Linked DNA regions of Struthio camelus. Each later gene encodes a partner of the first gene's protein in a complex. Links are inferred from orthologs where the notes say so. Each region holds a gene or a part of one and is shown in the gene's direction. Other genes may lie near its edges.

Region 1 (7,999 bases):
ATTAGTCATTCACTAGCTACTGAAATCTCACTAGTCTACCAGTCTATGACTACCCGTACTACATATGGATGAGTATTTACAAATGATGGCGGTGCCTAGATATCTGTTGGGTGATGACTCTGTTGTTCCTCGTGCTCTACAGAGCCGTAAGAACATTTCCTCCCTTCTTAATGATAACAATTACTGTTGAAATATTGGCTTTTGAAATTTGGAACTTTGTAGCTTCAAGGGGAAAGCGGTAGAAAGAGGTTATCACGTTAACTTGCACTTTTCCTCTTTCCCTAGCAATGTTATGAACTACAGATTGTAGGAATTTGTCTTACAGTATTAAAGTTACACAGCCTTGTGAACTGATTACTGTATCCTGTATTTGCAGATGTTACATTGTTACCAGCACCCATCAGCTTTCATTAGCAATGTAGACACACTGCAAATGTAGAAAATACTGGGCCTGCACTGTATTTCGTGATAAATTCCAATTTCCCTGCTACTATGATGGAAGCAAAGTGGAGATTTGATGAATGAAATTGAGACTCACCGTGAAACAGAGCAACAGCTTTGAAGAGCTGCCAGATTTCAGCAAAGGTGAAGAAGAATGAAGTAGACATTTCTGAATAAACTACCTTCCCCTCTTCAAGACCAACCCCCCATCTTATAAGTTCTCTTCTCTTATAAATTATCTTCCGTCCTTAATGGAATGGGAGACAGACGGCACAGCGTAGACAATTTATGGTTGTTAAAAGACAAACCACCAGAAGACAAATATGTCTTTACAAATGAGTGTTAAGTGATATTTCAGAGAAAGACTACACATCATATTCACACAGATGCCAACAGGAAGCACAGTTTAGAAACAGAAAAGCTTTAAGATAATCTCCACTTTTTATGAAGCCAAAACCTCAACATCACTAACACATCTTAACTCATTTTCAGAATTTGCCCCATATCATTTGATGCCATATCATTTATATGTTTCATACTTTAGCACAGATTTTTTAAAGAGTTTTATTCAGTAAAATATGCAAATACACACACACATACCTACATACAGGCACACACATCCATACATATATACATACATACATACACGCACACCCACCCACACCCACATATATATATATAAAACTCACACCTATAAGTATATCATACATCAAATCCTTAATACATATCGGGGGACAGAGGTCTAAAGTGGGAATTTTCAAAAACGCTCAGTATAGGTCTCACTAGTCTGTTGAAGTCAATGGTAAAACTGTTTACTATCAATGTGCATGAAGTGACGATAATGTTTCTGGAGGCTTGTACCTCTAACTATACCAGAAATTATGTCATTCGTCACTAGTTAGAGACACTGGTGAACATTTCTCATGTAGATCTTTCAGCTGAAGTCTTCTGCCCGTAGCCATCGATAAAGACAGTCACAATTTAACCAGCTGGAGAAAAGAGACTACATAGTGGCAGCATATAAGAGTGATTTGATAGAGTATTTGTAAGAGGAATATGCTGTAGAAAATTGTTTTCTTCTTTCTCCCTCTAGTCGTGAAAAAAGGGCTCTCACTGTGTTGTAAAACTTATCCTCATTTGGAAACTTTTCTACCATGTATTAAGAAAACCCAGCAATACCTAAAGTTGAGATCCATCAGCTGTATTTGGACTCCTGCAAAGGAACACCTGGGTGTGAAACCTTAGAAGCAGGTGCCTCTAACTGAATACTCAATGGCTATAAAAAAAAAAAAAAGAATAAAAAAGCAAGTGCGGGAAAGAAAGAAGAAAGAAATTAATCAGTCCAATCAATGATACAAGGTTCAGAAGTAGGGATATGAATGAAGTTTCACAAAGGAGATTAACGAATATGCATGGTCAGGTTTCCTAAAACCTAATGTCTGTACCAGATCTTTTCAGTATAACTGGTGGTTTCTCTATCAGGAATGTAATTGAAGTTCAGGCTTGATCTGAAAAACTGTAAAACTAAATGGCGCGGTGGGACTCCACTCTGATGGGGGTGGATCTTCAGCTGATGTATCACTTTACTCCCTTGATTTCACTGAGCCTATGTGGAATTACAGCATCACGAAATACAGCTCATTTGTCTCCAGGAGCATTGTCTCAGGTTCATTGCCGTACAGCTATAAGGGTGGGAAAGGCAGAAGGGTGTTATGTCTGCCGTGAAAGCTCAGTCTGGGAACTAGAAATCTGGGTGGGCACTTCCTGGCATGTTTCCACTTCACAAACCAAATGTTTCATTTCTTAAACCTAAATGCACCCGTCTCTAAGGCTGTTTGTAGCATTGCTGCTTCTCATATTATGACCTCAGGAGTGCTGACGCTACGGAAGTTACGGTAGCAGGTCTGAATGCAGTGTTCAGAGATAGTGGGATGGTTCTCCAGGTGGATAATGAGTCAATTGTCATGTTGATGAGACACAAACCGTAACTGGGCCTTAATGGCAGACGCAGTGCAGTTACACAGAGCTCACGGCCAGGACGACTGACCCAAAGACTTTCCTTGTAAAAGGAGGCACCTGCAAACAGCCAGTTTTATGAATGAGCTCTTCAGTTTAGGGGTGTACAGAAGCTATTGTGAACACTGGAAGCAGGGCATCACGCTGAAGGACTCTTGGGACTACCCTCCTGCCTTTGCAGCGCGATAGCTTCCTGCCTGCGGGTTCACCTCCGATCAGCATGTGACCTATGGACGCAAAGTGACAAGATATACAAAGTCTTGCATGCCTGACCTGTTTCACGTGACAGATCTGCTGTGGCTATCTCTGCATAAAAGCCTTCTGCAGCGCCACCCTGCTCGCTCAAGGGTTCACTTCTAACACAAACGTCTTTTGAGGGAAAAGGGGAACGACACTTTCAGAAGCTTATTCACTAGGGCGCTTGTGGATGGAGGCTTTGGTTGAAAAGAAATTGTATGCATTCTGGTGAGAAATCTGCATGTGCGCCAAGCAGAGCGGGGAAGGTGCTGGGATGCGTGTTTTTGAGGTTCTGGTAGGGGATGCCAGTGCATGCGGGGACACGCTATGAGCCCTTCCTGTCTTCACTTGGGACCTTGTGCAAACAAATGGTAAGACAGAGCCGCTACCCCGGGTGCTCTCAATCTGAATAGACTAGAGAGATGAAAAACTAGGAGAGGAAACATGTTTTCCTGTGTGAAGCATTAGTTTTTTATGACCAAGAGAACGGAAGACTGTGTGAACTGACAGGCGGAGAGGAGGCAAACCTACAAGACCCTCTTGATATCAGATCAGAATATATCCAGGCCTTTGGAACAACCATAAAGATACTTCTCCCTTATAAGGTCCATCATCCTAATATAGAAACCTCCTGGAGATAAAGCGAAGCTGGGCATACAGTACAACCTATGCTCCAGGCACAGGGAGTAAGTGTTGAGGCAAGAAATGACTTTTTCCTGGCATGACCCACTACAGATTGAACTGGAATGGCAATTAGAAGTTGAAGTGCTCATTTAATGTCAGTGATGTGTAAACTACATTGCCATTGTTATTTTAGTGCTGATTTACATAATTGGCATACCCTGAAGTCACACTGCATGCACTTTAAGTTCATGCTAAAGAGTTGCAGGAAGTCATAAAATTAAACATTATCTGAAATGGAATGCAACAGAAAAGTTACTAAACTTTTGAAGGATTTCATTTTGGTCTGTGTCACATCTCCTGCCTGTGGCCCTGGGCACGGCAGCGAGCGAAAATCGGAGGTTAACAAGTCCTGGGACTTGTCTGCATGGAGAAAGAAGCTTTACCAGCTCTTTAATTATATTGGTGTAGTTCTAAAGTGGTTTTGCTACACTGGTATGTAACTCTCCTTGTTAACATTTCCTTCCAGGAGTGACGTTTTGCCAGTATAGCTTAAGTCAATCTAAGGAGATAGGAAAGCCAAAATAAGAGGGTGCACATGAGGAATTGCTGCACTCTAACTGTGCTGAATTGTTGCCTCAGACTGGTAGTTTTCCTCTGCTGAAAAGCCCTAAGATGGAGGGAAAAGGCCGCTCCCAAAGGAGGAGCTGGTAATGGAGCTCAGTTGTTATTGCTTTAAATCCTCCTCCGCACAGTAATTCAACGTGTCAAAGGCTGTCTGTGTCTTTTGCAAATGAAGCCCCCGAGAGGTATCCGAGCAGGAGGCGCGGCGCTGCCGCCGGGTCCCCCGGCTGGGGTCGGTGCGCTGGCGGCCGCAGCTCCCAGGACCCTCGCTCGCTCGCTCGCTCGCTCGCTGCCCGGGCGGGGAGGCGAAGGGCCCGGCCCCGCCGCGGAGCCCCGCGGGACGCGCCGCCGCCCGCGCTTTGCTCCGGCGCCCGGCGGCGAAGTGACTTGTCCGCGCCGGCCGCGGGCGCCGCCGGCTGCGCGCGGGGCCGGACCCCGCCGGGCGGCGGCTGCGCCCCTCCCGCCGCGGCCGGGGCCGGGTGCCGCGGTCCGGCCCGGCCGCAGGTGCCCGAGGGGGCGGGAGGCGGCGGCCGGCGGGGACGGCCGCGGCCCGGCGCAGCTCCGGCGCGTTTCCGCCACTGGAGGGCACCAGCCGCATCTCAAACACCCGGCGCCGGCGGCGGCGGCCGCGCACGGCCCCGGCAGCCCCGAGGGAGGGCGAGGCCGCGGGAGCCGCCGCACCTCCGCGCGGCGCGGGGCGGCGCGGGGCGGGGCGGCGCGGACCCCGCGCTCCGGCGCTCCGCGGGCGGCCGCGCCGCGCGGAAACGTCGGGCCGGCGGCGGCGCGGCCGCCCGTGGGCGCGGGGCCCCGGCGGCACCTGCCGGGAGCGCGCTCGGCTGCGCGGCCCGGGGCGGCGGCACCGGCGTCGCAGGGCGCGGAGCCGCTGCCGGCCAGGCGAGGCGAGACCAGCCCGCGCCGCAGCCTAACGGGCCGGGCCGGGCCGGGCGCCCCGCGCCGAGCCGAGCCGAGCCCCGGGCGGGCTGGGGGGGGGAGAGGAGGGCGGGCAGGAGGGAGGGAGGGCGGGCGGGAGGCGGCGTCTCCTTTAAAAGCCGTGCGGGGCCGCAGCCCGCTCCCACAGGGCGGCTGTGATTGGCGCGGGCCCGCGAGCCTCCGGGGTCGTGACATCGGCGCGCAACAAAAAGCCCCGGCGGCGGCGCCCGGCCACCTCCGTCAATGGTGCGGTGCAGGGGCGGGAGCCGGGCACGCCTGCACGGCGCGCGGAGTGTGCACACAGAGCGGTCCCCGTAGCGCTGCCGCCGCCGCCGCTCCACGCGAGCCGCGAACAAACTACTCCCCACCCTTTTTTTTTTTTTTCTTCCCTTCCTCCCTTTCCTTTTCCCTCCCCCCCTTCCTCCTCCTTTCTTCTTTCTTTTTAAGGCAGCGGAGAAAAGTCAAGCTTCATCTTAAATGTTGCTGCGGGAGTCTCAGTAAATGTCCATCTGTCTGATGCTGATGATGCAAAGGACATTTTTTAAAAGGAGCCTTTTAACTCCATAGACACATAGGCACCCATTCACGGGCAGGCACACGCACACACACGCGAGGAGGAGGAGGAGGAAGAAGAAGAAGCAACAACTTTCTGATCGCTGCTTTTAAAAGGGAGAAGCCCTTCCCTGGCTGGGACTTGCCTTCTGCCTCCCAAGCCAGCTGCTAAAAGTATGTTTCTGAGGCGGACCGTACTTCAGGGAACTTCTATTTTCTGCTCGGCAGCTGTAGAGGAGCAGCAGCGAAGTTTGGAGTAACACCAAGTGATGCGGGAAAAACACCCCGAGAGCAGAACACCCTCCTGCAGACACAACCCCCGCTGCTGCACACAGGTATAACCCCGGCGGTCGCAGATCCGCTGCAAGCCTTCTCCGCAGGATGACTCCGTGGGCCACGGCGGAGGTGCTAGCGCTCTGGAAGAGAGAGGGGGGACGGGACACTAGTCATAACAGTAATAATAATCCAGCGCAGAGTTTCACGGGGGAGAAGAATATCCTGTGGGTTTGGCTAAGGACGTAGCAGGATTTCCCTCTTCCCCCCCCCCCCTCCTTCTTCCACTCCGCCGAGAGAAAACACCTCTGCCTCTCTCTGCGCGCGGGGAAGCCTCTGCCCCGCCGCGGAGCCGGGGAAGCGGCGCGGGCAGGGGCGGCGGGCCGGGCCGGGCCGGGAGCGGCGCGGGCAGAGCGCGGCGGCAGCGGACGGGACGGGACGGACGGGCCGGGCCGGGCCGAGCCGAGCCGGGCGCACACCTGTGCCGCGGCGGCCGCGCTGACAGCGGCCGCCTCCTCCTGCCCTCAGCTCGGCCCGCTTTGGTGGCGGATCGCCCCGCTCCCCCCGCCCCGTCCCGTCCCGTCCCGTCCCGCCTCGCTCCCTTTGATCTCCTGCCATGGGGATTTTCGTGCCTTTCTCCGCCGCGCGCTCCCTCCGAGCACCTGAAACCTGCCTGCCCCGCGCCGCCTGACGGGGCCGGCGGCGGCGGCGGCGGGGGGGAGGGGGGGTCGGGGTCCGCGCCGCGGCCGCAAAGCGGGGGGATCCGCGGTGGGAGCCACCTGCGGGCCGTGCCCGCGCGGCGCCACCGGCTCCCATCGCCTCCTCCTCCTCCTCCGCGCAGGTTGATCATGGTTGCCGCCACCCGCTGCCTCCTGGCGCTGCTGCTCTGCCAGGTGCTGCTGGGCGGCGCGGCCGGCCTCATGCCGGAGGTGGGCCGGCGGCGCTTCAGCGAGCCGGGCCGGGCCGCCTCGGCGGCGCAGCGCCCCGAGGACCTGCTCAGCGAGTTCGAGCTGCGCCTGCTCCACATGTTCGGGCTCAAGCGGCGGCCCAGCCCCGGCAAGGACGTCGTCATCCCCCCCTACATGCTGGACCTCTACCGCCTGCACGCGGGCCAGCAGCTGGGGCAGCCGCCCGCCCTCGGCTACCCGCTCGAGAGGGCCGCCAGCCGCGCCAACACCGTCCGCAGCTTCCACCACGAAGGTAGGTGGGCAGGGGGGGGGGCCGCGGCGGCGGTTGGGCGCGGGCGGGGGCCGTTGGCGGTTGGCGGCGGGGGGCGGTTGGGCGCGCGCGGCGATGGCGGCCGTTAACGTGCGCGGCCCGCGCGTGCGGCCGTGCCGGGCGGCGAGCGGCCGCGGGACGGGGGAGGAAAAGGGGCCGGGCAGGAGGAGGAGGAGGAGGAGGAGGAGCGTCGGGGGCAGACTCCTGCCCAGGAGGGCATGCCTGCGCTCGGCCGCTAATGAAATGCGTTTTGTCGAGTTTACAGGAACGGGGGTACTCGGTTTTGCTTTAAAAGCCCCGCTTAGAGGACTCTGAAGTTTCTGTTCCTGACGCGCTTATTCAGCAAAGCGCCTTCCTCCTCCCCCTTCCCCCACCCCCCACCCCCCCCCCCCCGCAGCCGATGAGGGGCCCTTATTTTATTTATTTATTCTGCGAAAACAGACCTGCTCCAAATTAAGCCTTCCCACAGATAGCTTTTCTTTCACAAGGCCAAACACCAGGAAAAAGCTCCCTAATTCACAGCTGAGCTGGGGTCGTTTGGGAGGTTTCTAATCCTTATCTAATCCCCGTGAGAGATCAGTGAAACAGTCGATTGTGGCGTTTCCTCAGCGGCTTTCTTGCCCCCCCCGTTGGGTTGAGGAGCACCTCAGCCTAGACCTGAGCCACACCACGAAGGAGGCGGGCGGGCGAACAGGCTGGTAAAAGCCTGGCTGCCGGATTTCAGGTGCACCCCAAGACCTCAGGTAACCTGGCCGAGCCTTCAGCAAGGTGCCAGATGGCTCTGCAGAGGCCGCGCGAGGTGCGTGCCCACCAGAGTGCTCTGGGGTCCCCGGGCACGGCCATCCCGTCCTCGCCGGGCCCTCGGAGGCGGCAGCGGCGCCATGTTGGCCCTGTAACGCCACCGCCGGCTCGCGCTTTGGTGAGGCGCTGAGTGCCTTCGGCTGCCTGATGCGCCCGCTTGCCGCTTCGGTGACTGACTAAACGCACGCAAAGGAGATTACCTTCAAAAGGAGGCTCTCTGGGATAGCGGCGTGTTTTTGTTTTCTTCCTCTCGCCCCCGCTCCAGTGACTGACTTAGTCGGTGCGC
Region 2 (7,326 bases), on another chromosome or scaffold:
TGCCAGGTTCTTCCCCGACCTTCTCGGGATCTTCCCTCTCCAGATGCGCAGCAAGATTTCTGGTCCTCCCAGCATCTGCCCTCCTTCAGGATCTCCTGAGCTTCCCAAGCCAAGGAGAAGGAAAGATCCAGGCTGGCAAAAGCCAAGGAAGACTAACTTAACTCAAGACATGCATCTTCACTGGTTATCCCATCTAGCTCTTTGCAGAGCCGGGAGAAGAGCCATTTCTCCCAGGCACAGGCCCTCGGCTCCCAGCCCAGGCCTCAGCAGCAGGAAGGCCCCTCGGCCAGGCTCTCCCACGCTCCGGGAGGCAGGTGCTGCTGGAAGAGGAGCCTGCCTTGCATTTCTAGCAGCGCTTTGTCCTCCCAACCTCGTTGCTTCTCTCAGAGCCTGGAGAAATCCCCGAGATCTCCAGCTACGTGTAGTCCTGCTGGGACCCAGTCCATCTCACAGGCGGTTTTGCTCAGAGCACAGGTTTGAAGCACAGGAACGCATGCAACAGGGTAGCTTTCGGCTCTCCCTCCCTTTTCTCTTCCCCTCCCCACTGGAATCCAGCTTTCAGGATCAAAAATACTACTGGCTATTTTTAAAGCATCGACTTCGCCCCTCGCTCCTCCAGCTTGCAGTGACAGATCGGGCTGTCGTAAAGTTCAGCTGTTTGCTGCTCCCGCTGCATCGAGCCCGGGGCGTTAACAGGCGTGATTCCCTCCTCGCTGCCAGCACTTCTGCCTGGCGGAGGAACCCGGAGGAAAATCCGCGCCACTGGGCTGGGACCTGCACCCGGAGGGGCGTTCGGCAGACCACCCCATCGCTGGCCGGAGCGGCGCTGGCCAGGGTAAGTGGAGCACTGAGCTCCTCTGCGGGGATTTGGGCTCTGTGTTTTGGGGAGGGAGGAAAAGGGGGCACTATGCCAAACGCTGTGCAAAGGAGAAGAGCGAATCCTTCAGGTGGACAAATGTCCCTCCCATTGCTGTGTCTGCACTTGGAGAGCAATGAGATTCTCTCCCAAGGAGCTGGCAAATCCCTCCAGTAAATCCTGGCTTCCCCAGGCGCTTGCATCTCCTTTTACACTAGTACCAATGCTTGGCTTTGATCTCCCCTGAGGCCTCAGCACCAGCTCCTGGCTGTTGTGCCATGGTCCAGGGTTGACATTCACTGCTTGTCTCATCCCCTCGCATCCAACCTCATGAGCTTGATTGATCTGGGCTTGTTTGCCTGGGAAAGGCTGGCTGAGCTCTCTCCGAGGGTGGATTAACCCAGGCATGTTCAAGAGATGTACTCTATGAGTTGCACTCGCCCCCTTCTCAGCAGAGCGACGCTTGCAGCACGAGATTTGTGGCTGCTCACATCCACTGCTCCGATGGAGGCAGATGAGCTCCTTTGAGACCGATGCCTCTTTAGATGCATTTTTCTCCCATCCATGCAGGCTGTTCTGGGTGCAAACCGGTGTCACTTGTAGCAGTGGGTTTGCAGACACGACTGGCACCAGCTCAGAGCCACGTGGGGGCTGCTTCCCCCGAGCAGACTAACACCCCCAAGCACTTGGCTTAAACCAGTCCCTTGCCAAACTCATTGCATTAGTGACCAGGCTAAACAGGGACCAGGACTGACCTGTGATGGCACTGCCTGTGCCTTGGGAGGGCAGACACTGCTCCGGCCACATCTGGCTTGTGTCAAATGAGACTCCGCTTCAGTGATGCTCACAAATTCCAAGTCTGCCCTTCTCCAGGGATTTCATGGCCGCCGTGTGCCGAAGCAGTAGCTCATCCGAGTGTTCCCAGCCACGAGGCAGCTTCTGCTTGAAGCAGTCCAGTGAGCCGTGCTGGGCAGGGAGGCGCTCGGGCGAGTGGCTCCGTGCATCTCCCGCCGCGCCTGCGGCATGCCAGTCCATTGCCAGAGCAGGATTTTTGCCATCCCTGCTCTGTGATTTGCAACAGGGTTTGGGGGTGAAAAGCAGCATCAGCCCACTCTGATCCACCCTGCAGTAGCAAAGCCCCAGGCCAGGGCTGCAATTACGGGCTCCCCTCCCGACACAGCACAGGGCTTGGGAAACCCTCGTCCACGGGTTTTGGGTGACACCAGCTGCTCCGCAGTCCCCACTGTGGCAGGATTTGGTGATCCAGCTGGCAGGACACAGTGCTTTGCACCTCCTAAACCTCCAGCTGATTTCATCAGTGGGAAGGGGGGAGTTGGTGTCCCTCAGCGGTTTGATCACAGATGCTTTTGTCTTGGCACCATGACTCTCTGCCAGCTCGGGAGAAATTCCCAGCCTCCTCATTCCAACATATGCCTGCAGCCCCCAGCTTGGAGAGCTGCTGCACATTGACAGCATTAAAACAATTGATGGCTCGGTTTCACGGCATGGACAAAATATGGCACGTCCTCAATTTCCAGTGCTGGGGAGACGCACTCACAACACCCAGTCGGTCGATGAGGCAGAAGAGAAGATCCTGGGACCTGGCCTCGGCAGCAACCTGGGTATCCCAATCAGATTCCTCCAGTCAAAGTTTCCCAGCCCTGCCCAGAGGCTCCGGACAAAGCGGGCGGGTGGGATGCCAAAAGGCCTCTGCTCTCTCCAAGCCCAGATGGTACCGTCTGCTGTTCCCAGAAGAATTCCCACCTGCCTGCCCCCATCTCCTGGCCCGCACGTAACCGATTCCCTCGGTCTGCGTCTGCGCCTGGGGCTCGCTGCGGGGAAACACGTGGCAAACAGATGGAGAGGACACCAGGCCAGGCCAGACCTCGGCAGGCTACACTGGGATTTGGGTATTATAATTTTTTTTTTAAACAAGATTTTTTCCACTGTCTTGTTATCTCAGGCCCTTGTTACCAGGTAACAGATACCCAGTGCATAAACACGGGGCAGGCAAAAGACCTCCAAAGCTTCCATGTGTCCCAGCAGCAAAGACCTGGGAGTCCCAAACCCCTTCCTCCACTGGGGGCTGCTGATGCCAATCCCAGCTGGGATTTCAACCCAAGCCTGCATTTTATTCTTTGTTTTCCTCTCCTCTAACCCTTGCCTCCAAGGAAGACTCCAACAGACTTAAACATGAGCCTGTGGTTGTAGATTTAAGCTTATTCTACAAGAAACAGCAGCCATTCGTCCTTCCTTCCCGTGTTCTCTGGAGGAAGAACAGTTTAGCAGCAGCTACAACCTAGTCAGAGTAGGTCAGCAGAGAGTCAGAGGGGGAAAAGCCCTTTCCCCCCCCATCATTAAACAAGAGCCCAAACTTGTCTAGAGGTGAAGAGCAGAAAATTGGACAATTCCCCCAGGAGGGGCATTGTGGTACCTGTTTCAGACAAATCCGGCTGTTAGGTCTCCCTCCATGTTCTTCCCCGTCCTCATAGGCTGGTGAAAGGCTCGCGGTGCAAACGCATTGAGGGCACTGCAGGTCTGTAAGGCTTCCCATCTCAGTGAAGATTAAGGCCTGGAAAACAGCAAGAGTTTGGGTTAGGAAGCAGGGAGATTTTTTCTGAAATGTTTCCAGAGGGGTTTATTGGTTCGTCAGCTCTGGGGGCGCTGAGGGACCTGCTTTCAATCCTCGCTCCAGCCTCAAGGGCCAGGAATCCTAGATGGACAAATCGCCCCAGGAGAAGCCTGATAGGTAGCAAATGAAGGATACCAAAACCATCTTCCTTGGATATTCAATTTTCTTTGATCCTGGCCTAGTACCTGAGCTACAACCCTCCCTTTCTCCTCCCTATGGCAATAGGGGTTTGCGTGGCCGCTTGCTGCATCTGAGCCCTTGCAGGCAGCTTTCAGCAAAGCCTGTATGGCCTGGCGTTCACCAACCCCCAGCAACGCGGGCCACCTTTGGCCCATGCCATGTTTGCACTCAGGACTCAGTGGGGCACCTGAAAGCCATTTGCTGCCCACCGTCCTCCCCATGGAGCAAAACAGGGCTCCTCCAAGCACTGTGGCCGGCCTGGGACCCAGCACAGCTCTGCCAGGTCCCCTCTAATCAGCCTGTGCCTCAGTTTCCCCCTGGAAGGAGAGCTATCAGGGAAATGATTAAAGACCCTGTTGGGAAAGCACAGTCACAGTGACTCAGTCCACAGGGCTGCAGCCAACCTGCTATAGGAGCCAAAAAGGGAAGGAAAAGCTGGTACCTTGGAGGCAGCCAGCTCACCCAGCCCGTGCTGCACAGCCTGGGGAGCTTCCCACCACCTCCATGGGCTCCTCAGCCCCCTGGCCACACACAGCCTCCCTCTGTGCCATGTGCCTGCTGTTCTTGGCTGGATTTGAGCCTGTCTAAATTTAGGCAGCTCTATTTCGACACCCATCCGCTGCCCCGCAGGGGGGAAGGTGACAGAGCAAAGGTAGCTAAGGAGGAGGAGCAGGGACCCAGCCGCCCCGTGGAGGGGCTGCATGAGCTGCACAGCACCCTGTGGCCCGGCAAGGCTCTCCCCAGCGGCACCCGAGATTTTGTCCGTCTGCGAGGCCATGCAGGTGCCTGGGACTGAGGGTGGTGTTTTCCCTGCTGCCCTCCCATGGATCTCCCTGGCCTTCACAGCAGGTAGAGCTAGGTGACAAGGACAAGCCAGCCCAGGTGCCCCCCAGGGAAGGAGCCTCAACACCAGGAGCCAGGTCATCTCCAGAGGAGGCCAACACAGGTAAGGGCAGGGATGAGGGTCTGAGGAAAGGGGAGAGCAGGACAGAAGCACACAGAGGCACCCCAGGGTCCCAGGTGCAGGTAGTCCCAGGAGAGCTGGGCAGAGGGACTGCACCGCTTGTGCCCTCCCTGGCCGACCCTGGGAGCCAGAGTCACCTCCGGCTCGCCGCTGCCTCTCTCCTCCCAACACCGCAAGGATGGGGACGTCCCAAAGACAGTCCTGCTGCCGGCAGGGCCTCTCCATCTCCCAGCCCTGCCAGAGCTGCGCTTCTCTGCTACACATTAACCAGGTGTTTATTTCTAAGCGTCACACCAGGGACAAGTCCCCTCCATGCCACCTCCTCCAGGGGTTTTGGGGTAGTGCTGAGAGGTCTCTGCTCATGTCCCTATGCCCCAGCTCCTCTCCACCAGCACACTCGGCTCAGCTAGTCCTCGCAGCCGAGAGCAGCTGGCAGCCAGAGCATCGCCAGCAGAGCTGGAGCGTGTTTTCACTCCAGACATCTGCCCCCTTCAGCCATTAATCCCGCTGGCAGAGGCACACGGGGGCAGCCAGCGCTCAGCTACGTCACCGCAGCAGCCCGCACAACTAATGGCATTTTTTGGCTGCTGCAGCCACAGCAAAAGGAGCTGAGAGATGCTAGGCAGAGCTGGTAGGACTGCAGTTTTGCATTTTTGGGGAAGGATGAGCCTTCAGCCTCTTTTCCCTCCTGGCTGTAGCCTGCACTTAATAGCAGCCACAGCATCAGTAATCACACACCTTGGGCTCCCCAGGTACCAGGCACATCCTTGTGGGCATTGGCCTCTGGCAACCGGCGTCTCACACAAGCTTGGAGGGGGAAATACTCATTTCACACACAGCAGCTTCCGAAGGACCTTTGCAAAAGGCTATCTGACTAACAAGTGACTAATAACCAGCTGTTAAAATCAGCCCCCGAGGACAGCAATACGCAGCCTCAATGAAGCAGAAGGGAAGATAAATTTAACCACGGCTGCACCTCCTCCTGCCGTGGCCAGCTGTCTGACATGATTAAGCGCGCACCGAGTGGGGATGTGCTCCTGGCAGTCCCCCTTCGGCCAGCTCGAGCCTCCCGGTGCGCAGGGAGCCAGCAAGCGCCTTCTCCGGCTTTGGGAACAGCCGCATGTTGCGTACAGGTTTTCGGCAGAGCCCGGAGTGCCGCCTCTCCCAGCGCTGCTCCTACCCCCTCGGATGCCACGTACTGCACATCTTTGTTTTTAACTGACCCTCTCCAGCCAGTATCACGGCTGGAGATAGCAGTGTGCCAGAGGTAGCCCATGCCGTACCCAACACTGCCTGGGTCCTTGCTGCACTCATCAGCTGCTCTCTTCCATGCCCCAAAGTCTCTTCGAGCCTGTGGGGCTAGCCAACCCATTCGAGGGTAGCTGGACATTTTAACTGCCTGACACACCGAACTACATCACGCAGCTGCCTCTGGGCAGAAGATGAGAACTGCAGGGGCTGAAAGCAGTTTAAAACAAACAAGCAAGCCCTTTGGGATTTTGCCTGAAAGCCTGCCTCCCCCCAGGAGCAGCAGCGATGCAGCCAGACCCTGCAGGACTGTGTTTTACAGCTGTCTGGACCCCAGCAGCTCCATACCTGCAGCTCCGGGCACCTCTTGCCACTGCTCGCTTTAGCTCGTGCATCTCAGAGCCCATCTATTCCTTGCTTCCAGGTGACCTGCCAAATGAAGCAGAGACAAGCCAGCGGGTGAGCAGCTCCCTCAGCTCTGGATGGATTGGAATGGGGACATCTGCCAGCAGTAAGAGCCCAGGGCAGCCGGAAACCCCCTGCTTCTTCCTGAGGGCACTCTTCCTCCTCCTCTTCTGCCATCATGGTAAGGAGCCAGATGAGCAGAGTCATGCCAGGGTCACATCCTTGGCAAGGGCAGCCAGAGGGAACTGCAGCCTGAGGGTACAGGGAGGGTAAAACCGTGGCTGAGCTCTCCTAAGAGGTGACTGGAGAAAGCAGAACATTGCATTTCATAGCAATCATGAGGCTCGGGCGCTATCAGAGCACCCTTGTCCCCGGCTCACCTGGAGGGAAACACAGGCAGCACTTCCCATCACCATCATCTGCCCCAGCAAGGAGAGCATCCTCCTGCTCTCCAGCAGCTTCTCTGGGAGCGCCCCTAACAGATTTGCCTATCTCCAGAGGTAAGGCAGGGGCAGTAGGGCCCAGAGTAGCACATCACCACTGTCCCCCTTGACCAGACGCCAGCCAAAGTCCACGCTCTTCCAGAGCCGTTTCCATCAAAAGGCACCAGCCGCATCCATCCCTCAGACCCTTGCTTTCCTCCTTGCACCCCAGAGCCTCTATCAGGAGGGCTCAGACCTGCACATCCCAAAGTTTAAACTCACTTCCCTGCATCCAGACAACAGCATGCTTTGAGCCACTCCTTCACCCAGAGCACCCCAGCCCAGAGGACCCCACCAGCCAGCATGTACCTCCTCCAAGGGCAGATCTTTTCTCCCTAGTGGGCAGCTGTCCGTTATAACCCCTCTGCCTAACAAGCTGAATGGTCCCTACTAGGCTGGGCTCAGCGGGCTCTTCGTTAGCCCTCCTGGGGCTGTGGCACATGGCTCTGCCTTCTGCAGCCCTGAGAAATCCCAGTTGAGGGGTTGGGTCACCTTGAGGCAGTGCAGTCCATCACGAAAGAGCGATTGCACAGCCTGGCGAGGCTTGAAAGGGCAAGAA
Region 3 (6,854 bases), on another chromosome or scaffold:
GAAGTAACCCCAAAATGCACCAAGTATTTAAGCTGTGGGAACAGTTTCCTGTTTCCTCCTGCCTGTTCTGCACATTGGAGTCTCCTACGCTGTTTTCCAGTTCTGTACCATGCTCAGTTCCACATCGCACTTGTTGGACTGAAGACTGGCCAGGGCTTGCAATGCTAATGAATTAATGCTTTTTTGCCTTTTTACTATCAGTGCTTCAACAGCAGAAGTTTTTTAAAAACACCTTTCCTCACAGATTTGAAACTGGCTTATTGAATTCATTATGCTTACATTTAACACATTTAATAAAATCTGTGCCATTCCTAAGTAACAGACAGCTGAATGGATTTATAATCAAAAGAACGTGCTTTCAAGTAAAATAATTCTGAAAAAAAGACTAAGCCAAATTCACATCATGTTAAGTGAAAAAATTATGTCCCTGGCTGAAGGGCAATAGTCTTTTAATATTTAACATGGAATATTTATTTTAGTAACAGTACCAGAAAAGCACTCATCTAATTGCAAATATATTTTCAAAAATATATTTGGCTTATACACTGTACTGTGGATTTTAGACATATGAATTCCAGAGACTGAAAGGAAGAAGGATATACCAAGATGAAAGCCCTATCACATGGATGACCTTCTCCCTATACATACCTCTTTGTTCTTAAAGAGCTTTTGATATTTAAGACTTGCATGTCCCAAGTGATTCCAAGACCTAATAAGAAATTCCTGGAGAGGAAATGACAAAGAAAGCAGCTGGAAGACTATCCAATTCATGACTTATTTAATTTCTTTTTAATACAGCTCTCTTCATCATGACAGTCAGTCTTGAACTACCACTCCTATATTTCTCGCTAGCCTTCCACATCCCTTCCTGTCCAAGTGTTGAATGAACATATGTTTATCTTCAGACTTTACTTCAGTGTCTTTGAGTGCTTCTCTACTTACAAAATAAGTACCTCATGTTACCAAAAACCGACGCGTCCAAGTTTTTGCAGATTTGACCAATCTTGACCAAGTGAATTGTCTGTTACTGATAACAAGCTTGCTGAGACCCTTTGTGTCTTTCTGACCACCTATCAGCTGAAGTGCTCATCTTCTGGTTTAAACAGATATCTCTACCTACCCCATAAAATAAAACAAAATAAGGTTTGATTCTTCATGTTTTACTTGACAAAAATCTTAGGTTAAATTTTCGCAGTTCGATTCATTAGGGGGTGTACAATTGGGTTCTTCAGGCACTATATAAAGAAAAACACTTCCATCACGTCCAGCATCACACGTTATGGCTGGGCTGCTCAGCAGTCCCCCTCTCACACACACACCACTGTATGATCGTAAAAAAGGAATTTTATTCTGCCCACATTGCTCTTATACTTTTGTTGTAAATCGTATGTTTCAAAAAATACTTTACACCTGTATGAATTTGAAACCACATCCTAAGCAACATTATTTCCGGCCTGACTATTGCTTGAGGCATCTTAAGTACGAGTGCCTTAAAAAGTACTAGTTGAGAAGGCAGTTCCTGTGACTTACTAATTTACTCATCAAGAACTGGATGAAACAATCGATCCATTTCACACGAGGAATCAGACAAATTTCAAGGTTAGTGGCTTTTGCTAAATTCAGGCATACTGGATTTAAATCAATACCCAACATCTGAAAAGCACGGGATTGTATTACCACATAGATTATTATTTAAAGAGATGCTAGCTCTAGCAGTTTTAGCTCTGGTTGGGAGCTCACATGCATGTCGCATTCTTCTTCCATATTGAGTGTCTATTCTGTTGCTATAATCTGATAGCAGACAGAGTGGAGGAACAGCAGACTCATATTTTCCTTTGAAATTATAAACATAAGCATACAAGTTCTGTATTGCTTGGCATGAAAGCTGTGATTTTGTCTTTCTTGCAGACTGTCTTTGTTTTGGACACTGACAAATTTTTCTGGATGAGGGTCATCGGAAAATTTTTTTCTAGAAGTTTAGTAAGACAAGACCTGTATTTTTAAATGCCTAAGACTGTAGTATCTGGCCGCCTGCACCTTACGAGGTGTGCCTTTACTTGGTTGCATTTTAAAGGAGCCTGCAAAGTTGACAGGTTTGAAATTATACTTCCTCTTTTGTTTTGCTATATGGGATAGTATGCAGGCTAAGCGCTTGCCTAGCAATCCATGAGTCTAATGCATATGAACTGTTCTTGCAGAGCCAGTGCTCTCATTTTACATCCTGAAGTGGTAACTCTAAAGTGGAGTACATGACATTTATGAATCCTATCTGATACTAGCATGCAAAAACGGAGCTAGACTGTGGAGAGGACAACACAGTAAGCAAGCCGTTGTTTCCCACACGATATGTACATGTGGCTATTTGCCACTCATAAGTGAGATTGTTTCTCAATGGTTACTCTCTAGAAATGGTTTATCTGGGCAGACCTCTTCACAATGGCAATTGCTGATGTGTCCTAAAGGGTGTTTTGGTCTACTTGCAACAGGAAAGTGAGTAGGTTTGTATGAGCTGTATGATCTTATTTGCCCCCTACCGTTGGCTTTACGTGCAAAGTTCTTGATGCAGAGGGTCCAATCGATATGGTATTAAAGGCAAGACCATGTCAACAAAACAACCGCTGTAATTTTGTTGAGTAAATGATTGAAAACAGCAGCCCACGTGGGAACTGTGGGGACTCCTTGTCATATGGCATACCATCATCAAAGCCCCTTCTGCACTGCTGTTGGGAGACACCACTTGAAGACAGACAGACAAGTTACGACTTTGCTAATTTGCCCTAATGACGAGGAGCTTGGAAAGCCAATGCAAATCATGGCCTTTAGCACACTTACCAATGAGCAAAGCAGCTCACTGCAGAAGTTATACTCTATCCCAGCCTAACTATCTGGGCTAATCTTTAGAGATACAGGAAGGGGAAAAAGCAAACCAACAATTTCGTCCATTGCGGTGGCACTACCCCTCTCCTGGCCCTGGCACGCCAGCCTTTCCAGAACTTAAACTATCTTTCCGCATAACTAAAAGGCCCCTTCAGGGCCCTCATTCTTCCCCTACAGTGGGGCGGCAATTGCCTCCTCGTTGCCCACTCCCGCTCACACCGTGGTCCCCTTACGCCACGTCAGGCAGGGCCGCTAAAACACTCCTCCACACCCCCTGCTCTGCGCGCCCTGCCAGCCATCCGTCCTCCGGGGCACCGGCCCCACCAGCTCCCTGGCCCAGCTTTCCGGCCCTCTGCCGCGCCCCCCTCACCCCACCTCGGCGCAGCTCAGCCCCCACGACGCCTGCTTGGCCACTCTTCGCCCTCGCACCTGGCTAGCGTCTCCTGGAGGAGCTCCTGCGCCCTCTCGCCTGGCAAAGCCACGCCGGGCACCCGCCTCTCCGCCTCGCCCGGGGCTCCGCCGCCGCGCTGGGCGGGGGGAGGCAGCGGCCAAGGCCTGCGCGGCCGCCCGGGGAGGGCAGGGACCACGCGGGAGGAAAAGCAGGCCCGGCTCGTTCCTCCCGGCCCACTTTCTTTCCGGGGGGCCCCGCCAGCCCTCCCGCCTACCGCCCGCCTTGATGAAGGGCGGAGGCGGCAGCCGCTGCAGGGGGCGGGAGCGGGGGGGGGGGGAGGCCGCGCCAACGGCCGCTGGTCGCGCGGGGGGGAGGGGGGCGCCGCCCCGCGCCAACGGCCGCCGCTCGCGCGAGGTGGGGGGGGAAGAGGGGGCGCCGCCCCGCGCCAACGGCCGCCGCGCGCGAGGCAGCCCGGCAGCGGCCGTTGGTGCGCGCGGCCGCGGCTGCAGTGATTGGAATGCGGCCGGGGCCCCGCCCCACCCCGCTCCGCAGGGACGGGCCGCGCCGCGCCGCGCCGGGAGCGCCGTGAGGGACGGAGCCTGCGCCGTGCCCCGGCCCGCCGGCCCTCCCACCCCCCGCCTCCCCCCGCACACCCCGCCTTCCCCGTCCGCCCGGAGCCGCCGAGGCCGCGGGAACGGCCTGCGGAGCGGAGCGAAGCGGGGCGCGGGCCCCCTCCCCCTCCGCCTTCGCTCGCCGCCGAGGAGGATGAGGAGCCCCCGACGCGGGTGAGTGCGGGGGCCGCGCCGCGCCTGCGTTGCCGCCGCGGAGAGGCGGGCATGTCGGGCCGTCGCGGGACGCCTTGCCCTGGCCCGGCGGAGGGGAGCGGGCGCCGTCGGGGCTGGCTGCCCCCGCCGCCCCGCGCCGCTGCCCGGCGGCTTTCCGCCCCTCTGCGCCCGCCGGTGCGGGCCGCCGGGCGCCGCGCAGGCCGCGGGTCCCCCCACCCGCCGCCCTGCCCCGCCGCGGCGCTGGGGGCGCTGCGCCGGCCCCGCCGCCCTCCGCGCCGGCGCTGGGCCGCGGCCGAGGCCGAGGGTGGCGCGGCGAGGCGCTGCGCTGGCGCCGGGCACGGCGCCCCTCGGCCGCGTTTCGGCGGCCGGCTGCCCCCGCGGCGGGGTGGGCGCGGGCGGGGGCCGGCCCCGGCCCCGGCCCCGGCCGGCAAGAGAGGCCCCGCTCGCCTCAGCCAGGGGCGCGCGCAGTAAGAAGCGTCGTCCGCCGTTCGTGCGCGCTTGGAGCCAAGTTACGCGCCGCCTCGGTCGGCCTGTTGCTGTCGGGTTATACGAAATAAGGAACAAAACTCTTCCCGCAAAGAGCGCTAGTCGCTGGGCCTACCTTAGAAGTTTTACTTGGTACGTTGACGGTAGAGGTCTTACGGAACAGCCGAAGGCTGTGCTGTTGAGTTGCGGTGTTCGGTGTCTTCCTGTAACTGATTGCAAAACCTAGGGAAGACGGTTAAAAACTTGCATGGCTCCCTACGGCCCTTTAGTTTTGTGAAAGAAAGTGAATTCGGCGGCAAAGAATGGCATTAAAGTGTGTTTCCGTGGAGCAGTCACCTGTCGTTTTGTGCTGAGGTTGTAGGGTGATTCTTTCCAGTGTGGATTGACTGCCTGTCTGACTCTTTTCATTCTCTGTGGACAGGTAAATATTTAGTGAATTCTTCATCCAGGTAGCTTCGTTGCAATTGCTCAGAGTCTGTTATCTGTAGGGATGAAGAAACTGCTTTTGCAGATAAGAGGAAAGTCATCTGTTTCAAGAAAGTTGCCTGATTTGTAGTAGAAACTAGTACTGGATAAAACATTGCGTGAGAGTAATTTATAGTCAGATGACATTGCAGTCTGCATGCAAAAAAAAATCTCCGTGTTGTGGCATTTGTAAATTGTTGGCAGTGTATTTGTCTCTTGTTACTGTACTTATGTTCCTTTTGTAACCTTTTCTTAAATTATTCAGTAGATTTAATTTTGTTATGTAAGTGCATGTCTGTGTTTCATATATATTTACATATAGGTGCACATGCATACGCCACAGTGGGCTTTGAGTTTTAGTCTAAGATTTTTTGTTGAGGATCCTCTCGCGTAGAGGTAAGGTTCAGCAGCCAGACTTAAGTATGTCCTATGGGCTCCTCAGTTCCCTTGACAGGGAATATATGTGGCTGGAGCTGCATCCTTCTTTCTAAAAACATGAAGTAATTTAGGTTGGACGGGACCTCTCGATGTTATGTGATCCAGCCCCTACTCCGTGTAACTTGGATTTTACTCATTAAAAGTTGTGCTTAACGGAATATTTTGCAGTTAGAGCTGCCACGATTTCTTGAAGTCATTGTAGAGAAACTAACTCCTAATGTTTTTGACGCTGCTTTTCAAAATCCTTACAGTGAGAATTGTGTGCTTTGTTAGGAGAATTAAAAATACTCAATATGGTAGAGTGTGTAAGCAATGTACCTACTGCTTTCTGGCTTCCAACATTTAGGAATCAGGAGTCTAAAATGTAGGTAGCATAACTAAAATAATTAACTTTATTCTTTCTGGTACTTCCTGTAGTTATTGAACTACTCCCTTATTTAAGTATTTTTTAGATGTGGATTTTAATAGCAGTATCCAAGTTTGAGAAAATAAAATGTTGACCACATTTGGTATTAAATATTGTGCCTTTTTGGATGTGCCATAAACTAGGTCTGATAATTTCTTTTAAAATGGACAAGTGTTTGCCATAGATGAGCTTTACTGGAGTATTATGCCAATAAAAACAAAAAGGATTTTGAAGAAGTAATAGATAGCTTTGTCTACTTCCTGGAGTGCTGAAAGGCTAGCACTTGATGGATTGCTTAGTGTTGTGGGGTTTTTTTGTTTGTTTTTTTTTTAAGTTAGGAAGTATGTTCTTATGCTTCTCCAAGAAGCAAGATATAGATTATGCAATTATATAAAGATTAATAAAAATATAGGGAAGGATTTGCTAAATATTCACTATTTTTATAACGACGGATTAGTGTAAGTTATCTTCATATTTTAGAAGAAAAAAAGTAGTGTGAAAACAGTGATGTTAAACCACTCTGAATCGAGGAAATCTCTCTTAAATCATTCAATATAATGAAGAACTTCTGCAGCTTTCTAAGGCATTGTGAAGCGCGAATATGTTACAGCAGATAAGAGGAATTCAATAGGTGCCCTCATAGAAGGGGTCAAAGAAGAGATACTAGCGCTTGCATGACTTTTGATATATCCAGACTTTCTAAGAGAAACAAACCCTGCCTCTCCAAAGACCTTGAAAACAAAACAAATCAAAAAGGGAGGTGGGAGCCTGCCTGCCTTGTTTGTCTTTGTGGCTGGTAACTTTTCTGATGAGGACAATATCTGTTTCCAGTAGCAGATGATGGCTGAGCATAGCAACTTCTTTGGCAGGGTGTTGAAAGGTGTAGATGGATAAATGAGACAAGATAGTGCGTGTGGGGTGCGGAGCACATTCAAAATGTGTATGTTTCTTCTGTGCTTGTGTAAAGGGTCAGCTGAAGATCTGCCCTTTCTATCTTGGCTATCTG
Region 4 (7,370 bases), on another chromosome or scaffold:
CCCAAGGGACTGCTCTGGGGCTTACAGCAAATACTTGAAGTCAGATAGTTTAGAAGCACTGGTTAGGGGGGAAGAATATTTCCATCTGCTCAGACTCCTGCTTTGCCCATGGACCACTGCCCCACTCAGGAGAGGACACCCTGACCAGTTCAGAGCCTGGAAATGCTCGCTGTTCCGCTATGGAGCCGAGCACTCTTCTTGGCACTGATCAGCTCATTCCCAGAGCCTTTTCCATGGCATTGCCACTGCTCTCAGCGTGAGTGAACACTTTGAATGGCAGAATTATTATTCCTTGCTATAGTTCTGTGTTGCACCTGAATATTTTCTCTAGCAACACCTGCAAGAATACTCTTGCCACTTCTGGTGTTTCTCAGTTGTCATGCTGTGCATTTGCTACTCAGGCTCCAGGTGAACCAGTAACACTTTTTTGCTGCTTAAAGCAAATGTAAGTTTAGAAGTTATAGACAGAAGAATCTTAATAAGCAGCTGCAAAGGAGAAAGGGAGGCTTGGTCCTCAGCCAGGGCAGCTGATGTGTCTGGGAGATGTTGCTTGGACATGCGGTTTGGTCTGCCACGGTCCCTCGTATGACCAGAGCGCAGGTGAGGACTGTAGGAGAGCAGTGTTGTCTGGGCTCAACTTTACATACTGAAATAAGTTAAACTGAACTGTAAAAGCCCCTGGATAAGGATTACAGAATCTGTCTGTAATCACAAAGCACTACATAATTGTAACTGCATACTTCTTTTCTTATCTTACTTGTAATGTTGATCTGAACTTTAATGAAAATGTTTTCCAGACATTTTGACCAGCTCTGAAGCAATGCTTTGCTTTATCTACCTGGAAAGAATAGCTCTACTAGCTCAGCACCTTTTCTTTCTTTTTTTTTTTTTTTTAATCTGAAAAGTAGAATGAAGATGCTGTTTTATTTTTTGTTTCCAGCTAGCTGCGTTTCCTATATGAGGCTCTGAATTGTGGAGTTCTTTCTTTTTCCTGGTCCTTGTATAGGATGAGGCTGTTGTGCCTGCCTCCCAAATAAAATAGAGAAAGGAACAGAAGGGAACCAATTTGACTGAAAGTCTCAAATACAGCGGACTTGCCCAAGCCAAGGAAATGGGTAAAAGTCAGAACAGAGACACAATAGCCTATGTTGACCGCACCTCTGCACAGCGGCATCCACAAAGGGAAAGGAGAAAGGCTCCAACCTGAAAAGAACCAGGATGTCCCCTCAGTAAAGAAACCTAGTACAGAAAAGTTCACCCCACAAAAGACAGCCACAACCTGCCTTGGAGATCAGCTCTCACTTCCTCACGTGGCTAACAGGGCATAGCTGTAAGTAGCTTCGTGGCACTTGGGCTTTCTGTGAGGAAAAACACATCTCTGCTGCCCGCCCTCCCAAGCCCTTCCTCTTCATGATGGTCACATCTCCCTGACACATGCTCCAGATCCGCAGTTTAGGCTGTTGGGGACCACTTTCTGGTGTAGTTCCTGATGCACCCGATGCAATGAAGGGGATGGAGGGAAGGATGGCTGCCAGGCACATGGACCCCCACGGGGGTTCTGCAGCACCGCTGTCAGCCACAGCAGCGCAGCTTGGTTTTCACCTCCTCTTTCCTGGTCCTTGCTCCAAATGGTGCTGTCATTCCTACCTCCAGAATAAAACAGACATGGGAGATGTTTCCACTGAAAGGAAATTGGTTTCCACAAGTTACTCCTCCCTGCTTGCTGGAGAATCGTCCCTCCCTTTGAGCGCCCCTGTAGCTTTCCTTTGCGCCTGTTCTAGGATGAAAAGAGGTAGTCATTGATTGTATTAATAATTCAGAGCCTAATCTCACGGACGGGTGTTCACGGCTCATGAGGTGGCATTCTTTTATCTTGAGTTCAGGATCAGCCACATCCTTCAGAGGTCAAGGAGAAGAGCTGCAGCATGGCACATGCCTTCAAAATAATAGGCTTAGGAGACTCAGATGTGTGGATGGAAGTGGCAAATGAAAAGCCCTTATGCTCTGTGCTCTCCATGGCCTGTGCAGCTTGAACCAGTAATGTCCACAAACCCCAAAAGATGACTTCCATTAACTTCCACAAGGTGTGGAGTGATCCATGCTGCGCTGCACAGCCTACAAGTTGCCCAGGTCACCCACACACCTTCTGCTCCTCAGGACAGCCAGCTGTCTGCTCATGACAATCTTACACTACCACCCATCTTCTCCCACAGCCAAGCTCCTCCTTTAACTGCCTACTCATTCATGTAGGCTTAATCTTTTCTGGAAGGACAAAGTGTACCGACGTTATTTGCTTTGTTTGTTTTGTGGCCAAGCAGATCCTTGTGCGAGGAGAGGGCCAAATTCATCTTTTATAAAAGCAGGTGAAACTGGTCACAGGCACTAAATTGGGAATTCCCAGGATTAGCAAAGAAAAGACAGAGCAAAATATTCTGTCTTTACTTTTCCCCTCGCTGTACTTTACACTGCAGGGGCAAATTTGCACCATTGCCCTCAAAGCCAATGCAAAAGGCCAGGAGTCCATTCTCTATCGAGTCCTTCTCTTCCACAGCTCCACCTCCATCTGCTGCATCTAATGTAATCAAATGGTAGTTGTGTTTTGTTCGCACCCGGGGTGGGGGGGGGGGTGGGGGGCAAGCGCAAACAGAAAGGAGCCCTCAGAGGTGTGCCTCTACACCTACTTTACACCTTGCTGGCTGTTTATGGCAGAGAAGGCAAGGTCAAAGACATGCACCTTGCACTTGGAACTGAAGGTGCCAACTCCTCGTGCGATGCTGAAGATTAACGGCGTGCAGATAAGGGCTGGGGGAAGTGGCCAGCGGAGACTTCTGAGCGTTCCCTTGGCAGAGGCTGTGCCTCGCTGTGGGAACTTGCTGCTCCAGCGCTCACTTTTCCCAATGGGGAGTGAACTCAGCAGCAGTTTGCTGCTGCCATGATGCTCTGCTGCCGTTGTTACCAAGGCATGTTTAGTGCCCCGTGCATTAGCTTTTCTTCTGCCTTGTGCTTTGTCTCCTTGGGGGAACAGTTCCACAGAATAACCAGAGAATATGTATTTGTAGTGGCGATTCCCCTCCCCTCCGCCCCACCGTGGTAACACAGGCCCCAAGTGCTCAGATTAGCAACACTCCAGCACCCAGTATTTCACAGCGTGGGACTGGAGCCCAACCTGCTGTGCACACCTGCGAAAAGGTCTGTGCTCACGACCACGTCTACTCCTTTCTCTTTGTCTCTTACATTCACTTGGGTCTCCTCTAACTAGCAAGTTTACCTTCTTTAAGGCAGGGTTTGCATTTGATTTCCTGTCTGCACAGTGTCCTAGGCCTGACAGAGGCAGCTCTGTCCATACTGTCGTATCTAGACACTATAGTATCCAGAACTGTAAACTGATTTGCAAATAATTATTACAGAAAGATGCCATTTTTTATATACCAGATAACTTATCTGGTATACATCAAACTTCTCCCTGTCTTTTCTCTGTTCTTTTTTCCCAATTCATCCACAAATACATTGTTCCTTTGTCAGTACTATATAAGCATAGCATCCATGTTTAAGAAAAAGACCTCTTTGACGTCAAGTTTTCTGTAGCAGAGCTGTTTAGATTTGTTATGATTAATCACATCTATTTTCTAATTTGTACCTAACACACACAGAGAACCCTCCTTAAGCCTTAAACTTGAGCTGTAGAGGTGCGTTTTGTCTTTGCTGCTGGCTTAATCAAGCCACGGAGAGCTGCTGTGTGCTCCGTACAATTGTTGCCCCTTGAATTGCAAAGAAAGAGAACGAGGAGAACGAAACACTTCGCAAAGGGCTACTACTATGGGTGCACTAAGGCGTATTTAGTGCGTTTGTGGCTCTGGGGCTGCAGTAATTAATTGTGCGTGTGACACTCCAGCTCGCGTGGCCTTGCAACCACAGCCTTCCCACCGCAGCAGCACAAATGCAGGCACCCCAGCACCCACACATGCTGAAACCCCTGCAGGCCTCGATGGGAGCCGGGTGCTCAGTCTAAGCTCACACCGGGGGCTCAGGGCAGCTGGAGGAGGACCCTGGCCCCCACCGCCCAGCAGCGGCTCCTCTCCCCTCGCCCATGCTCAGCCCGGCTGCTCTGTCCCCACCGAGGTGCCCCGACGTGCCCGTGGAGGTGGGGGCAGCCCCCAAGCCCCCCAGCCCCCCGTGCCCCACGGCCGCGGGTGACGCATCCCTCCGCTCCGCTCCCCGGCGGGTCCCCCCGGCCGGGGCTGCGCTGCCCTCCCTCGCCGCCGCCGGCTCCCCGCGTCCCCGCCGGGCGGAGGGAGGGATGCAGGGAGGGAGGGAGGGGACCTCCCTATCTGCCGCTATCGCCTCCGCCTGCCTCTCACATGCTCCGGGCGGGCGATGCGGCTCCCCGCGTCCCGCTGAGCGAGGCCGCGCTGCACCCCGCCGGCGCTGCCCTGCGCAGGGCAGGGGGGGCCGCCTGCGAGCCGGGCTTGGGCTCTTCCCCCCCCCCCCGCCCCCCGCCCAACCATCCTCTTTTTTCTCTCTTTTTTCCTTTTTTTTTTTTCCCCTCCTGGAAAAGCAGCCGCCTCTCCCTGCACTACCCCCCCTCCCCCGCGGCGGGCTGGCGAGGCTGATGCGGCCGCTAAGGTAAGCGGGGCGCGGGGCTGCTGCGCGGGGCTGCTGCGCGGGGCTGCTGCGCGGCCGAGCCGTGCGCGCCTCCGCGGCCGCGGGTGCCTCCGCGGCTGCCCGCGCGGCCGGGCCCGGGCCCGGGGCCGGCTGCCAGCGCCGCTGCCGGCCGCGCCGCCGCGGGACCTGTTGAGGCTGCTGCTGCTGCTGCCCGTTGCCATCAGCCTCCTCCCTTCCGAGGCGTTTCGACGAGACCCCGCGGCTCTTCCCGGCTGCTCTGCCCCATCTCTCCCCGGCCGCTTTAGCGCTAGCCCGGCGTGCACGCGTGTCTTCATTCATCCTCCCGTTGATGGTTGCCACTAATATGCACCTTCCCGGGCTTAAATCCATGGGGTAATTCATTGCGAGGCCACTCAGCTGAACTGAAAATACTCCCCCCCACCCCCTCACCCCGTATTCCCAGCATTTTGCCCTTCCCGTTGGATAGCTCCTAACGGGGCTGGGCGCTCTCCCGCAGAGCGGCGGGGCTCGGCTGCGGGGATGCCCAGCTGTCCCCTAGATCCTGTGGTCTCAGCCTCGGAGGGCTCTGCCGGCCCGAGGTTTGACAGCTGCGCGGCCGCGGGAGCCGGGCCGGGGCGGCCGCGGAGGCGCGCCGGGAGCGCGGGGAGCTGCGCGGCTCGGGGCGTCGCTCGCGGGGGGCTCGACTTTGCTCCCTTCCTCCTGATGAACCGGCTCCCTAGATAGCCCTTTAACCTCAGCCAGGAAAAAAAGGAGGAAGAGGTGCAAAGTGGCAGAATACAGCCCCGAGTCAGGACATTTCAGAGGCAGCAGCCAGCATAACCCCCGTCGAGACTTGCTTCCACTCAGGGACCTAAATATATATACGTTTAAGGAAACCGGGTTGCGTTTGCAAGACAGGTGCTTTTTGTTGTGGTGGCGGCTGTGAGGCAGATGAAAGTTTGGTGTTGTTTTGATGTGATTCTTGATTGCTGCCTGTTGGAGTAATTGCATCGCAATTGCTCAGAGGTAGAATCAATTTCCCCAAATTGAGATTTTAATGGGAGCTTGCAAGCTGCTGTTATGTCATGTGGTTTAAGGCGGCGTTGGATTGCATTTATTTTATAAATTGGATACTTTTGCAAATGGTTTAGGGATAACAGCACCACCCAGCGGGAATGAGAGCCCCGAGCTGTACTTAATCCGGGAGGAAGCACATGTGCCTGTCTGAAAGCTGCTCCCTGTTCAGAAACACCTACCGCAGCAATCCGGTGTCATTTGCTGAAATGCCTACAGAGGTGCTGGATTCAAGATTTTTTGCTATGGCATTTTCCCATAACAAGGAATGTCTCTTTCCGAGGAGGTATTCAGGCAAATGTTTAAAATCGGCTGATGACACTGTCATCAGGGTCCTTAGCATTTTGTAACTGAGAGGACAGGAAAGGCGTCATGTGATCGATTATATTTCTGGCCATTGCTGTCAGGAATCGACACAAGGGGATGGGGGCAAGGTGATAGGGATTCAGAGAGCTTTTTCCATAGGATTCTTCAAACTCCCCTTCCTCAATGTGCTCAAGACCTAGATTTGCAAACCCTTGCTGTTCCCCCCCCCCCCCCATTTTTCAGATAGAGCCCTGTTACCTTTAAATGAAGAGACACCAGAGATGTCCTTAGCTGACCTGTTTGGTTGGAGAGGGGGAGAAAGAGGCAGCTATGTTTGCATTTTTCTCAAAACACAAGCAATTTTTAAAAGCAGCAGAGAAAGATGTGTAGCTGTCCTGCTACACAAACTGCTTTCTGTCTCTGCTGATAAACATACAGGTCTCTGTGATTTTTCTGCGCTACTTATTTTTGGCAGTTCAGATTTATCCGTCCTTTCTGCTGAGCTGGCATTTGGCCATTCAAACGTGCTCTTGGGCACCTCCCAGCCCACATGTTTTTTTGTTTTTTTAACATGGGAGCCCAGACATGAAGAACAGAGACTAAAGAGATGATGCTTGGTATTTACTCCTAAGAGGATACTGGGCCAAGAAGACCAGCTCCTTGCAGAGAGCGAAATCCTCAGAAGAAGAGTCCCAGCCAGTCCTCCTGACCTGCAGGACAAGGGACGGCTACAGGCTCCTTTGCCTGAGAGCCGAGTCTCACTCCACAAGGCGCTGTGAGCAAGCGAAAGGGAGAGAAAGTAATGAAATACCAGCAGCCAAAAAAGTTGACACGATGAACTCAATGTTTGTCTGAAAATACCACTTTGTTGTTTTGCTTGCTGACACGAGTGAGAGTGGAGGTTTTCCACTGTCCAATCTTTCCTGCCCCTTGTTCAGCCTGACCAGTTTTGAGCATTTAGATGTGACTTTTATGGCTGGCTGTTTGGAGCGGGCACTGTAAAGAGACAGCCCAAAGCAGGGTTACCCACAGCAGCTTTATTTAGGGAAGCTTTTAATCAATCACTGTCTGCGGATGGAAAGTTGCAGGTCAGAAAAACACTATTTTTTTTTATTGCTGTTGCAAAGCTGTATTTTCTTATACCTTTGACCCAATGGCCTCTCTTCAAGTAGCCACATCGGTGAGTCTAATGTTCACAGAGCCAGCTGTGGGCAGGTTCGTTACCTGAAACAGTGAACTGGCTTCTCTGCACTTTGCTACGCAGTAGTTGGTCTGCCTTCAAAGCCCAGCTCCAAGCCATCACCTTCACCTGCCCCATTAAGTTACTGCAAAAGTTACGTGTAGGGCACTAATGAGCCCCCTGACGGATACCTTCCCTATCCAGGCTG

Evidence for each region.
Region 2: the proteins of BMP2 (region 1) and HJV are in contact, whole or in part, in a crystal structure (PDB 4UI1), measured with the Homo sapiens proteins. The link is inferred for Struthio camelus from reciprocal best matches to the Homo sapiens genes BMP2 and HJV. Residues at the interface, in NP_001191.1 of Homo sapiens: Phe331, Pro332, Ala334, Asp335, Leu337, Asn341, Ile344, Val345, Leu348, Ser351, Val352; in NP_001366281.1 of Homo sapiens: Leu40, Asn43, Tyr46, Val47, Tyr86, Leu101, Ala102, Ser105, Ala106, His108, Gly109, Ile110, Asp112, Leu113.
Region 3: the proteins of BMP2 (region 1) and BMPR1A are in contact, whole or in part, in a crystal structure (PDB 2QJ9), measured with the Homo sapiens proteins. The link is inferred for Struthio camelus from reciprocal best matches to the Homo sapiens genes BMP2 and BMPR1A. Residues at the interface, in NP_001191.1 of Homo sapiens: Lys297, Pro330, Phe331, Pro332, Leu333, Ala334, Asp335, His336, Ser339, Asn341, Ile344, Val345, Leu348, Asn350, Ser351, Val352, Asn353, Ser354; in NP_001393490.1 of Homo sapiens: His66, Cys67, Pro68, Asp69, Ile77, Thr78, Asn79, Phe83, Ile85, Cys100, Met101, Lys102, Glu104, Gly105, Phe108, Gln109, Asp112, Arg120, Ile122.
Region 4: the proteins of BMP2 (region 1) and RGMA are in contact, whole or in part, in a crystal structure (PDB 4UHY), measured with the Homo sapiens proteins. The link is inferred for Struthio camelus from reciprocal best matches to the Homo sapiens genes BMP2 and RGMA. Residues at the interface, in NP_001191.1 of Homo sapiens: Val308, Gly309, Trp310, Asp312, Trp313, Met371, Tyr373, Leu374, Asp375, Glu376, Lys383, Tyr385, Met388; in NP_064596.2 of Homo sapiens: Arg91, Arg94, Gly95, Leu97, His100, Ser101, His104.

The regions. Positions count from the first base shown.
Region 1 is NC_090944.1:130,843,581-130,851,579, reverse strand, and holds the start of BMP2 (bone morphogenetic protein 2), read left to right. Parts: upstream 1-4,994; 5' UTR 4,995-5,756; intron 5,757-6,535; 5' UTR 6,536-6,542; coding exon 6,543-6,894; intron 6,895-7,999. UniProt on the Homo sapiens protein: Growth factor of the TGF-beta superfamily that plays essential roles in many developmental processes, including cardiogenesis, neurogenesis, and osteogenesis. Induces cartilage and bone formation.
Region 2 is NC_090971.1:3,033,285-3,040,610, forward strand, and holds the start of HJV (hemojuvelin), read left to right. Parts: upstream 1-4,308; 5' UTR 4,309-4,614; intron 4,615-6,228; exon of another isoform or gene 6,229-6,304; 5' UTR 6,305-6,372; coding exon 6,373-6,466; intron 6,467-7,326. Other genes in the region: uncharacterized protein, read right to left, coding at 1-132, 3,291-3,410. UniProt on the Homo sapiens protein: Acts as a bone morphogenetic protein (BMP) coreceptor. Through enhancement of BMP signaling regulates hepcidin (HAMP) expression and regulates iron homeostasis.
Region 3 is NC_090948.1:33,513,673-33,520,526, reverse strand, and holds the start of BMPR1A (bone morphogenetic protein receptor type-1A), read left to right. Parts: upstream 1-3,844; 5' UTR 3,845-4,053; intron 4,054-4,652; exon of another isoform or gene 4,653-4,671; intron 4,672-6,854. UniProt on the Homo sapiens protein: On ligand binding, forms a receptor complex consisting of two type II and two type I transmembrane serine/threonine kinases.
Region 4 is NC_090953.1:7,625,344-7,632,713, forward strand, and holds the start of RGMA (repulsive guidance molecule A), read left to right. Parts: upstream 1-4,360; 5' UTR 4,361-4,609; coding exon 4,610-4,623; intron 4,624-6,803; exon of another isoform or gene 6,804-7,056; coding exon of another isoform or gene 7,057-7,070; intron 7,071-7,370.